3 linked regions of the Oryzias latipes genome follow. The protein of the gene in region 1 purifies or fractionates together with the protein of each later gene. This does not show direct contact. Links are inferred from orthologs where the notes say so. Each region holds a gene or a part of one and is shown in the gene's direction. Other genes may lie near its edges. The genes, in order: ogt, death-inducer obliterator 1 and histone-lysine N-methyltransferase SETD1A.

Region 1 (3,652 bases):
ATCGGATCTGTTATGTTAGATGTTGGCCTCCTATGTAGACTACGTTTAACTCTTATTTAAATTAAACTGTACCAGTGAACTGGGAATTGTTTTTGGTTGTTTTTCCATTTTTTTATGTATCGTAAGTTATGTCATCGTCATGATATTGATCACTAATACCGCATATTGCGAGTGTTCCTCATTTTGTGCTGCCCTAATGTAAATCAATGACAAATCTGTATGATTTGTGTAACACAAACAATGCAAGTAGCATGTTTGCTGAAATACATCTTTGTTGGTACAGATATGCAGCAATGCAATAAAAGTAAATAAAAAAATCGGAGTACCACAGAAACATGACAGCAATAGTTAAAATTACACTTTTCTGGTAAATCTAATCCTTGGCACTTTTTTGTACATAAATGTTTTACTTGCATGCGGGATGAAGACCGTCCTGCATCTCCTGATTTTCCAACTCCTCTTCTTTCAAAGTTCTGACAAGAGTTTTGCTCTGGTTGAATTCCTAGACATTTTTTCACAATAATAACTTATATTTACAACATAAATTACGATGACACACTTTTAAAAACACAGCTTAAATTATGTATATTTCTTCTAACAACTATCGATTGTCTATTTGTTGATTGTCAACATCGTTGCATAAAAATTCGACACCGTGGAAACCACTGCAACGACAGGAAAGTTATGTAAATCAGCGCAAACGTGTGTTTTCTGCCGCTGGTGACCGTGTCGGTGTTGAGGGTTAACTGTGTTTATATTTTTGCTCACAGGTCTGCTCACTTCAGTACTTTGGCCATCAAGCAGAATCCAATGCTTGCAGAGGCTTACTCCAACCTGGGAAACGTGTACAAGGAGCGTGGTCAGTTGCAGGAGGCCATCGAGCATTATCGCCACGCACTGAGGCTGAAGCCGGACTTCATTGACGGGTACATCAACTTGGCAGCAGCTCTGGTGGCTGCAGGAGACATGGAGGGAGCAGTCCAAGCTTATGTGTCTGCTTTACAATACAACCCAGTAAGTGGTGTTATTAAGTACTTGAAAAATTTGGGGGGGGGGGGGGGGGGACTTGTTAGTGAAAACATTCTATTTTATTCTATTTTTAAATCTTTGTGTTTTTTTTTTTCTTTTACAGGATCTCTATTGTGTACGTAGCGATTTGGGCAACTTGCTCAAAGCCCTGGGACGTTTGGAAGAGGCTAAGGTACGCGTCTTTGTGTCTTCAATGCTAAAGATGTGGGTTTTATTTTCTCTCCTTTAGTTTTAGGATGTCTTTTTAGGCCATCGATTCTTCCTTTTTCTTTTATTTTTTCGTTACTTTTAGGAGCTTTATTAAAGTCCTCTTTTCTCTGGGGGCCAGATAAACATCAGCTTATTTTAGACTTGCAAGGAGCTTCTCACCTCACTTTAGAAAAGTTTTTTTGGAAATATTGAACTAGAGTCTAAAAGACTCATATTGCACTCTAAAGCTGTCCTTTCTTTAAACATTTTTCGAACTTAAATTATCTAAATCTTTATTTTTTCTGATCTTTTTGTACAAATTCTTTTTGACAATGGTCCTTATTACTTAGTCCCACTGTTTTTGCTGACCTTGCTAATGAAAGGTCATCCCCTCCCCTTTCAGGAAGAAAGGCTGCAGTAAGTGAACCCTTCAGATTGAACCCTGGCCCTGCATCCTAATGATGTTTATCTGGGAGGGAAAACGCTGGCTCGGTCTTTAAAGTGATTATGAACTGATATCAAGATAGAATTTATCTGAAGTGCAAAAGATAAGATGGTTTCTAACCTAACTGCTATACTCCTGTGTTGCATATCAAGTGCCCAATGACAATATTTCTATCCCTGTTTTCAGCTGGTAGTTTCTGCCAGTGTGGATCCTTTTTTATTTTTTTCCCCACTAGGAGTTTACAACTCAACTTTGTCACTTTAAAATGTGCTTGTCACGGGGGGGGGGGGGGGGGGGGGCTCCCTTGGTCCGTTCAAATCCGGTCATATGGAGTTGTCCTGCTGGTTACAGGCCATCTTATTTCATGCTAGAGGGGGGTAAAGGAGTGTGGAGGAGCATCAGGGAGTCACAAGCTCCCCAGCTCTGTAGCTCTGCCCCCCGCGCGCTTGCTAAGGATCGGTGGAGTGTGCGCAACCAGAGCTGTCTTCTTGACCAATCAGCTTCCCCTAGTTGATGCCGAGGCGCATCCCCACATGCCTTTCATGTCCAAAAGTCAGTACTTACACTGAGATTTACGATTAGTCAATCATTCTGATATTTATTGACATGCCCTGCCGTTTATTTACATATAAAGCTCATTCTTCAGTGCCTTAAGGCGGTTGAAGTAGTGTCAAGCAGACAGCTCACTCACTATTTGTGCTCCACCACCTGCGCCAGATGCTGGATTAGAAAGACAGTATGATGCGCAGCAGCAGCAATGACCTCTTTATTTCAGATCTGTGGAGACTTCTAGATACAAGTACTTAAACCACAGAATTTTCTTCCCTATCCATTGGCCAGGATTCAAGAAAGCAGGCCAGGATAAAGAAATCAAAGTTTTAAAAAATATATTTTCTGAAAATGCTAGTGGAATATAAGAAACGCATTGGTTCACATTTCTTCCCTTTTCCTTCAAATATGTAATAATATTCCTACTGAAATGGGATCAGTTCATTTGGGTAAGATCAAGCCAGTAATCGCCCTCTTTGTAGTTTGGTTTAAATTCTCAATTGGCAGGAAAATAGAGGTCTGACTACATGTCAGTGATTAACTGAACAGCAAAGCCTTTCTTCCCTCGGTTAGCCTGTAAGCAATCCTCTTGTTTTGTATCAGGCCCTCAATGCATGACTGAAAGCTAAAGCTAAAGCTACCATTTATTTTTGTTTTGTCGTGATTTGGTGCTTTATATCCATAATCAACAAATAATGTATTGTTTGAAGAACTTTTACTAACGATCTTGTTTTCTGATTTTGTCTCTTTTGGTTTTTTCCACGACTGATATTGTTATTTAGAAGGTTTCAGGTGGGTGACACTATTCCTGCGTAGGTGCCTGGCGGAAAGGAACTCTAGGGCAGCCTCAGTCCTCTCCTCTTCTTCCAGCCAGCTGCGACCACCACTCTGACAAAGTCCAAAAATATGGTAACGGGTTTGTAACTGCCAACAAAAGAAAAACCACCTTACTTCATGCTTGAGCCCCTCGCTCTTGTGAAAGAAAGAAAAAATAAACTTAATATTTTTCAGTTAGTTTTTATTGAAATTTGTTTTACTAATTAACCAATTTTATATGAAGTAAAAAGAAACTTGGATTTGGAAGCTGTAATTATGAAAAACATTAAGAACCCTCTAACACTTACATGCTGGTTATTTTTCCTATTTGTTTTGTTTTCTCCCTTTCTTTATTTGGAGTTGCAGCGTTCTGATGATGCAGTAAATGCGCTGTGAGTCTGCAGTAGCGCAGGGGCTGCGCAGCGATACCCTTCAAGCAACCTAAATGGCGGAAAGCGCACGCGTGCAACCCCCAACGCCCTCCCCCCTCATCCCCCTTGGCCTGTTTGGTTGCGGACCTCACCCCACCCAAAAACCAGCCTCGCTCCCAAATGCACCAAAACGCTCAAGACAGGATTTGTTATGACAAATGCGTTGAGCAGTTTTTGATTCATTCACCATCTA
Region 2 (3,652 bases), on another chromosome or scaffold:
ACTGACAAGCTGGAAGAATTTCTCTCAACTGCCAAAAGAGGATTAAGAAAGAGCGCTCCCCCAAGTGGGGATAGTGGAGATCCTCCTTCTCAAACTCCAACTGATGCAGAGACTGCTTCAGAAGCCAGCTTTGATGGCAGTGTTGACTTCAAGGCTTCAGAGGACAAAACTGATTCCCCAGAGAGGAAGACGAGAAGCGCTACAAAGAAACAGACTCAGAAGACGCCACAGAGAGGAATGCAGACCAGACGGAGTGGCAGAGTAGCAGCCAAGGATGAGGGAAGCTCTGAGAATGAGGAGGATAATAAAGATGAAATCAAAAAGGATCCAGATCAGGGGACAGGAAACAAAGACAAAAACAGTGACCCTGATGTTGTAGAGAGCAATGATACAACACCGCCTCAGCAGGAGCAAGACTCTAAGAATGAGGAGAAAACAGAATCTGAGGTGAAAAATGAAAACGCTGAAGACTCCGAGGACAAGCCTCCAGCTTTAACGGAAAGAAGTGGACCGTTAAGAACATATGTCAATAAAAAGAGGGCAGCAAAAAAGAACAGTACACCTGTCAGAGTTGTTGTGAACAAAAACACTGCTCCTACTAAGCCTAAAACTTCTGTTAAGACAAGCAAGCCCCAAATGGATGAGGAGGAGGATGACGATTCGTCTTCATCTTCGTCTTTAGATGAATCTGATGGAGGCTATGACCCCAATGCGTTATACTGCATCTGTCGTCAGAAACACAACAAACGGTAGGTTTTTTTTAAGTGGTTACTGCTACATTGTTGCATTTATTTTAATACTTAAATCTAGAAAATTTAAATGACAAACCCCATGAAACATTTGTAGGCAAAAGCCTGTTGCATTCTTGGTCTTTTTGTGATTGGTCCCTCTCCATCTAGATTTATGATTTGCTGTGACCGCTGTGAAGAATGGTTCCATGGGGACTGTGTCGGAATCACTGAGGTCCGTGGACGCCTGTTGGAAAGAAATGGTGAAGACTACATCTGTCCCAACTGCACTGCCAAGAAAAACCAAGTGGTCAGACCTGCCACGTCCCTCCTGTCTACAAGTGCAGATTCAGCCAGGTCCACTGTTTCTGCAGGTGGCTCTTCTGCCACTGCTCCCTCCTCTGGTTCTTCTGAAAAATCTGCTGTCAGTGGAGCAAACATTCAGGCTGTAGCACCACCATCTTCCACAGTAAGTGGGGCAGAGGAGAAAGCATCGGAGGACCTGGGCATCAAAGGTCGGATAGAGAAGGCTACAAATCCAACTGGAAAAAAGAAGATAAAGATTTTTCAGCCGGTACGTCTCTGTAGCTGATATAAACAAGAGTTTCCCCCTACTAATGGATTTTATTAGGTTTTCATAGTCTGTCATTGTTGTAGTTCATAATTAAATGACCTGCTTTTTCTGAACTCTATCTTCACTAATATTAGTGAACACAGCGGGTTGTTTACTCAGAGTACTCTTTCACTGTCCATGCTCAGACAAAGTTACTGCACACGCTGATATAGTATGTTTACGCCTACTAGCAGCTTCGAGGTTTTTTACAGCTTGCCTATTTTGCCAACATGCAACCCTCAGTGTTCACACGTTGAGTCCAGTAGATGCCCAACTTGAGCCCTGGACCGCCTGTCCCTTTGTTGTCATCTTTGTACGATTTTTTTTTTTGTGTAATATAAATAGTCTTGGGTTTGCCCCGTATAGAACCGAGAGCTCTGTGGCACAGGAGTTTTGTGCCTGATAATGGAGTGATTACATCAACTAAATCAGTGTTTCCCAGCCCTGGTCCTCGGGGAACACTGTCCTGTAGGGCTTCACAATATGAGGAAAACTTGGGATTTGCGATTGTAGTGGTCAATTTTGCAATGACGATATAACTTGGGATACATGAACAAATGGCAAAGCTACTAAATACATCATTTCCATTTCACTGCAACAGTTTAATTGATATTAAAGTCAACATAGCTAAAGTTACACTCCAAATGACCCTCGTCTGCATAGGAGGCGGGCATCTAACGTCAAAGGGCTCCATCTGATTGGTCAAATGCATAAAGGGATTTATTTGATTAAATACTTCAAGCTGCCGTAAGATTGTTGAAGCACATTTAAGTACCCTTTATCACAATTTTCGCGATATCTGTATGCACGCAATAAGGATACATTTGGGATTTATTGTGCAGGCCTACCGTCTTCCACGTTGTTTTCCATGTTGGCCTCCTTATGCGCACCTGATTCAGCTAATCAGCGGGTTTTGTAGAAACTTGACAATGACAGTCATCAAAGGCAGGTGGGTTTGAGCAGGGTAGGATTATAAAAATGCAGGACAGTGTTCCCCGAGGACCAGGGTTGGGAAACACTAAACTAAATGAAGTTTGCTTGGGTTTGCTACAAGTAAATTCTTAATCCCACAAATGTGAAATGTAGGGTGGCAGGGTAAACGGGATACCTATCAATAAGAGTATCAAGTATATCCAATAATCCAATAGGTTTATGCCTCTGGTATTTAATGCAGGTTGAAATATCTGTCATTCGCTGTTGATTTAATGTTGCACTGACTCCAACCAGGGGGTTCAGCTGGCAGTTCAACCGAAGGCAGCGCAGAAGGCTTCACGAATTACGGAAACCAAGGCTTCCCCATCGGTTGAACAGAAAGCATCAGCCGACACCGAGCAGAAGGTCGCCTCTGTTGTGGAAGTGAAGACGTCACCAGAAGTGGAAGTGGTGGAGGACAAGTCCGGGCAGAAGGCCGAGGATGACTCTTTCTCTCCAAAGTGCATTGGACCTGGTTGTGCTAAGAATGCTCAGCCAGATTCTGTGTACTGCGGCCACGACTGCATTCTGCGACATGCCGCCGCCGCCATGAAGTCCATCAGTGATGTCAAAGAGCCCAAGGACAAGGCTCCCATAAGCAAGTCCACAGCAAAGGTAACCCGGACTGACTGAAATACATTGCCGAAATGAAAGAAAACGTATCTTCAGTCACGAGTCATTGCTTTTAATGCTGACTTTATTTGACTCTTGGGAATTGTTTGCATGTCTGATTTGTATTAGTAAAAGGTTTGAAGGCAGCTTTTTTGTGAACTGTATTCAGGGCTTACGCTTTTTGTTAGCATTGCAATAAAAAGTGTTTTGATTTCCTCTGCCGACGTTCAGTAAATCCAGGGTTTGAAGTTCAGGAGGTGATGTAGATCTGAAGTTTGTTTTTTTGGGTTGACTTGTGAGAAATAACACGGGTTGGATATTACAAAGTGTTTTTAAAAAAAATGTTTTTTTACTCTGTTTTCTTCTCTTGTTGGGATAATTTGGTTTGCATGGGAATTGCAGCGGGCTTTTGCTGAAGACTTTTCTTTCCATTTTCCAAAAAGGACTCATGTGTCTTTAGTTTAAAGTTGGGGGGGAACTTTGCACTATACTTTTTTTGAAAACCTTTTTTCCTGATGAAAATATCTAAAAAAAATCAACACATGATATTCTTTCTTTTGTATCAGAATTTTGAAGTGCCTCTTTAAAACAATTTGAAGAAGAGGTCCATAAATTGCCTCCTGGTGGATGTTTCTTCTCCCAACGTAAATGGCAATTTAAGTAAAGGCATAAATAATAAAAACGCTTTATATAAGCAGACCATTTCTATCACAAGATGGTTTAATTG
Region 3 (3,652 bases), on another chromosome or scaffold:
AGACTGTTCCCCTTGGTGGGAAGGCTTTAACAGACAAGGTCCAGCCTCAGCCCCCAACTCAGCCCCAGCCTGATACGGTATTGTTACATCATGAATGTTTAACTGTTATTGATGAGCGTTGAGTAAGCATTGTGTTTTTGATTTATATTCATATTTTATATGCATTCAGTGTTCAGCTATGGAAGTGTTGAAATGCCATCTGTACTGTGTGTGTGTTAATAGATGACACAAAACACTCGGTAAACCTCTGATCTTGACTAAATAAAAGCAAAAATAAGTGAATTTAAACTAAGAATTGTCTGAACTTTGGAGTTATATAGGCTTCTTCACTTCAGAATCTGAAAGGCAGGTCAGAAATCACAGTTTCATAATGCAGTTTTCCTTTTATTGGCATAAACAAGACTTTCTACACTTTACACTATAGACTTGTAGACTGGAGTAAAATAATAGGAATCATGTTTTAGTTTTATTACTGATGAGGGTTTTCGTTCATCCAGGTGAGGTCTTGAAGTTAAGTCATGGCATCTGGACTTGCAGTAAAACCTTCGTCAGTCTGTCTATCATCAGTTTATTAACAGTAAAAATGTGCTCCGTATCTCGGCATAGCTGTATCTGGATCTGTAACATACAAAACACACGTATGCTTAAGCAGAAATAGACCTAAAGGTTTTCAATCGATGTTTAGAAACAACAATAAACATAACAGTGCCAGATTATAGTTAAACTACTAGCTTGCATCCATCCACAGTCTTTATTATTTACATAGTAGTAAGAGGCGTTTCAAAAACAAATGCAGCTATAATTTCTGTCATCTGCTCGTCGTCTTTTAATGTTTGGATCTGACTGCCTTGAAAACGTTTTTTTTTTTAGTCGGTTCTGGTACTGATCGTCCCTCCTCTGTTTGGTGATGCCAGAAGAAGAAAACCGATCATTTCATGGATGTGTAAAGGCTTTTGAGAAAAAGCTGGCTTTTTTTAGTTGAACTGTGAGTATCTGCAAGTGAAGGCAGTGGCAGAAATGTGCTCTGCTGCCCCCGCCATTTGGTTCAGGTCCTTGATGTTCTCCTCCATGAGGCTGGAAGACCACAAAGTGCAGTAGATGGTCAGAACGCCCTCTATTATTCATTTGTGAAAGTAGGCCAGCAGATGTTGAGAGAAGTGTATGTACTTCTTTCCCTGTTGGGGTTTCTCCTTCTGACGTGAGATGTGATGTCCAGGTGAGGTCAGCTGAGGACAACAAAGACTTAACATTTCTCTGGTCAGAGAGCTCAGTGGTCTGTGGGTTGGCACGCTTAAGTCCACCATCACTTCCTGGTTTTACAGTCTTTACGCCCAGCCTGTGTTTAAGGCAATCATTTCTGAGTTTTTGACACTTTTTACCTCTAAGCTGTCTAATATAGTTTCTGTAGCGGTGTTTTATTTACTGAAATGACAATAGTGTTAGTGGAGTCTCAACAGAGGAACGTCTTGTATTGATGGTGAATGGAAGAAGGGGCGGAATACACATTATTGCACGATGACATGTGGTCAGGTTCTGAGAACGGCCACTACCCCGGTATGTGCACAGCAAACTGACAAGTCTTTAAAACAATCAGTTTATTATTTATTATCAAGACAATGAATTGTCTCCCAAATGGAGATCACATACCTGTTATCTTTGTTCAGGTGTTGGAAATCCCCAAAAGTCCATTGAGACTGAAGCTTGACATGTTATCTTAATGAAATCTGGTGTACAAATAGTTTAAAGCAGATAGATAATTTGCAGAGGAACACACACAACATTTAAGTTAAATTGTAAGCCATAAAAAAAAATGTTGGACGCCCGCTCCGGCCGTTTGCAGGCCGATCCGTGAAAATACTGTCTGACATTAAACTAGTCTGTGGCCTGAAAAAGGTTGGAGATCACGGATCTAAAGGGTTTCCTCAAGCTTCTTCTTATAGCATCACTTAGGTGTTTTATTCATCTGTTGCAGCTCAATGTTTGGGGGGGGGAAGCTAATCTATTTCTTTGATTTGTTCCTATAAATTGTTCTTTTAAGAAAAAGAATAAATCCTGTGTGGGACATAAATAAAAATGTCTTTTGTTGTTCTGACATTGAAAGAGAATTTGTAAGTTGAGTGTCAATCTTTTTAAAGTCATCATTTAAAATGTTAAAAAAAAGACACAATTTTCTTCTTTGCAGCCGTCAGAAATGAGGCGTAGGCTATCCAGCGAGCTTGTGGCTTTGGCCACGGGAGTTCAGGCTCTCACATCAGGAGGCGTCACACCCTGTTCTAATGACACCGGCTACAGTGAACAGCGAATGGAAAGCACTCCCTCCTCCTTAGTGGGCCAGTATACCCCGGGTTCCTCTGCTTCGTCTCAGGGTGGTGGGGGAACACCTTACAGCTCCAGGTCTGGCACACCTTTCTCACAGGACTCGGGCTTCACCAGCACAAGGTTAATAGTTGATTTAATTTAAAATAATTCACAGCTTAAAGCTCATATTTGCTGTTGTAGTGACTACTGGCTGAGTAGTGATGCTCATTTTTTTTCTTATCTCTTTGTTGCAGGCATTCCAGCTACAATACAAGCAATTTGAGCAGCGGATACCCTCACCAGGATATGTTACCTTCCTCATCTTCTGCAGTTTCATCCACTGTTGGAGGTTACAAAGTCTCTCGCTACCCTGACGACCTACAGGAGCCATCCGTGTACCACCGTGGTCGCCCTGTTTACCCCCATCCCACATCGTACCGCCCCAATGAGCCACCATGCTTCCCTCCTTTCACCGGTGTCGGTGGACCAGGTCCACACATGGCCCATCACTCCTCCATGCCTCCACCTCCCATTTCCAACCAGTTTGACCAGCCCCCGATGTCAGACAGGGAGCGCGAAAGAGACTCAGGGGGGAGGTACGGGGCTGCGGGGATCGGTTCCAGAAGGTCATCCTACCATCACCCACAGGACACAAACTCCTCCTCAAAGTACCACGCCCATCACTCCCACCACCACTCAGAGCGCAGGGATGAAAGGGGGTACCGGCGCGACAGCCTGGGGTCCCGCTCCGGTGAACACAACCACCAGAGGCACCGGAACCACCACCACACTCACAACCACCACGGCAGCAGCAGCCGCAGGAGAAGCAGCCATGACCGAGACAGAGATCGGGACAAAGATCGGGACAATGACTTCTCTAATAACTCAGACCCCAGATACAGTTCCAACTCTTACCGTTCTTCCTCTAACAGCATGTCTCCTCCTCCATCATCTTACTCTGCATACGCCTCCAAAGAGCCGACTTCAGCCCCTTCCCAGGGACCGGACGCTGCCAGTCGTCCAGGAGGCACCAACGCTTCAGAGAGAGTGCCTCTGCCGTCTCCTGGTGCTGACAAAGACTACCATTCTGCTCATCACAGTGCTCTGCCTCCTCCACCTCTTCCACCACCTCCACTCCCACCAGCATCAGTTATTGCCGCGGCCGTAGCCGAGACACTCGGAACGCTGGACTTCAATCAGGACAGCCCCGTCCGCGGAGACCAATGGACGAAGCCCAAACGCCGTCCCAGCACTCCACCTGCCCCACCAAAGACACCCCCGCCTTCTTCCCCGACCCAGCCTTCTGTTGCATCCTCTTCCAACTCTCCATCTTCAACCTCACTTCCTCATCATC

Evidence for each region.
Region 2: the proteins of ogt (region 1) and death-inducer obliterator 1 purify together in Homo sapiens (affinity purification with mass spectrometry; 3 studies listed by BioGRID and IntAct, with this or other methods). This does not show direct contact. The link is inferred for Oryzias latipes from reciprocal best matches to the Homo sapiens genes OGT and DIDO1.
Region 3: the proteins of ogt (region 1) and histone-lysine N-methyltransferase SETD1A purify together in Homo sapiens (affinity purification with mass spectrometry; 4 studies listed by BioGRID and IntAct, with this or other methods). This does not show direct contact. The link is inferred for Oryzias latipes from reciprocal best matches to the Homo sapiens genes OGT and SETD1A.

What each region holds. Positions count from the first base shown.
Region 1 is NC_019868.2:18,370,370-18,374,021, forward strand, and holds part of ogt (UDP-N-acetylglucosamine--peptide N-acetylglucosaminyltransferase 110 kDa subunit), read left to right. Parts: intron 1-770; coding exon 771-1,014; intron 1,015-1,132; coding exon 1,133-1,201; intron 1,202-2,994; exon of another isoform or gene 2,995-3,118; coding exon of another isoform or gene 3,119-3,121; intron 3,122-3,652. UniProt on the Homo sapiens protein: Catalyzes the transfer of a single N-acetylglucosamine from UDP-GlcNAc to a serine or threonine residue in cytoplasmic and nuclear proteins resulting in their modification with a beta-linked N-acetylglucosamine (O-GlcNAc).
Region 2 is NC_019863.2:25,950,409-25,954,060, reverse strand, and holds part of death-inducer obliterator 1, read left to right. Parts: coding exon 1-749; intron 750-899; coding exon 900-1,302; intron 1,303-2,568; coding exon 2,569-2,928; intron 2,929-3,652. UniProt on the Homo sapiens protein: Putative transcription factor, weakly pro-apoptotic when overexpressed. Tumor suppressor. Required for early embryonic stem cell development.
Region 3 is NC_019866.2:4,052,580-4,056,231, reverse strand, and holds part of histone-lysine N-methyltransferase SETD1A, read left to right. Parts: coding exon 1-77; intron 78-2,182; coding exon 2,183-2,439; intron 2,440-2,552; coding exon 2,553-3,652. UniProt on the Homo sapiens protein: Histone methyltransferase that catalyzes methyl group transfer from S-adenosyl-L-methionine to the epsilon-amino group of 'Lys-4' of histone H3 (H3K4) via a non-processive mechanism.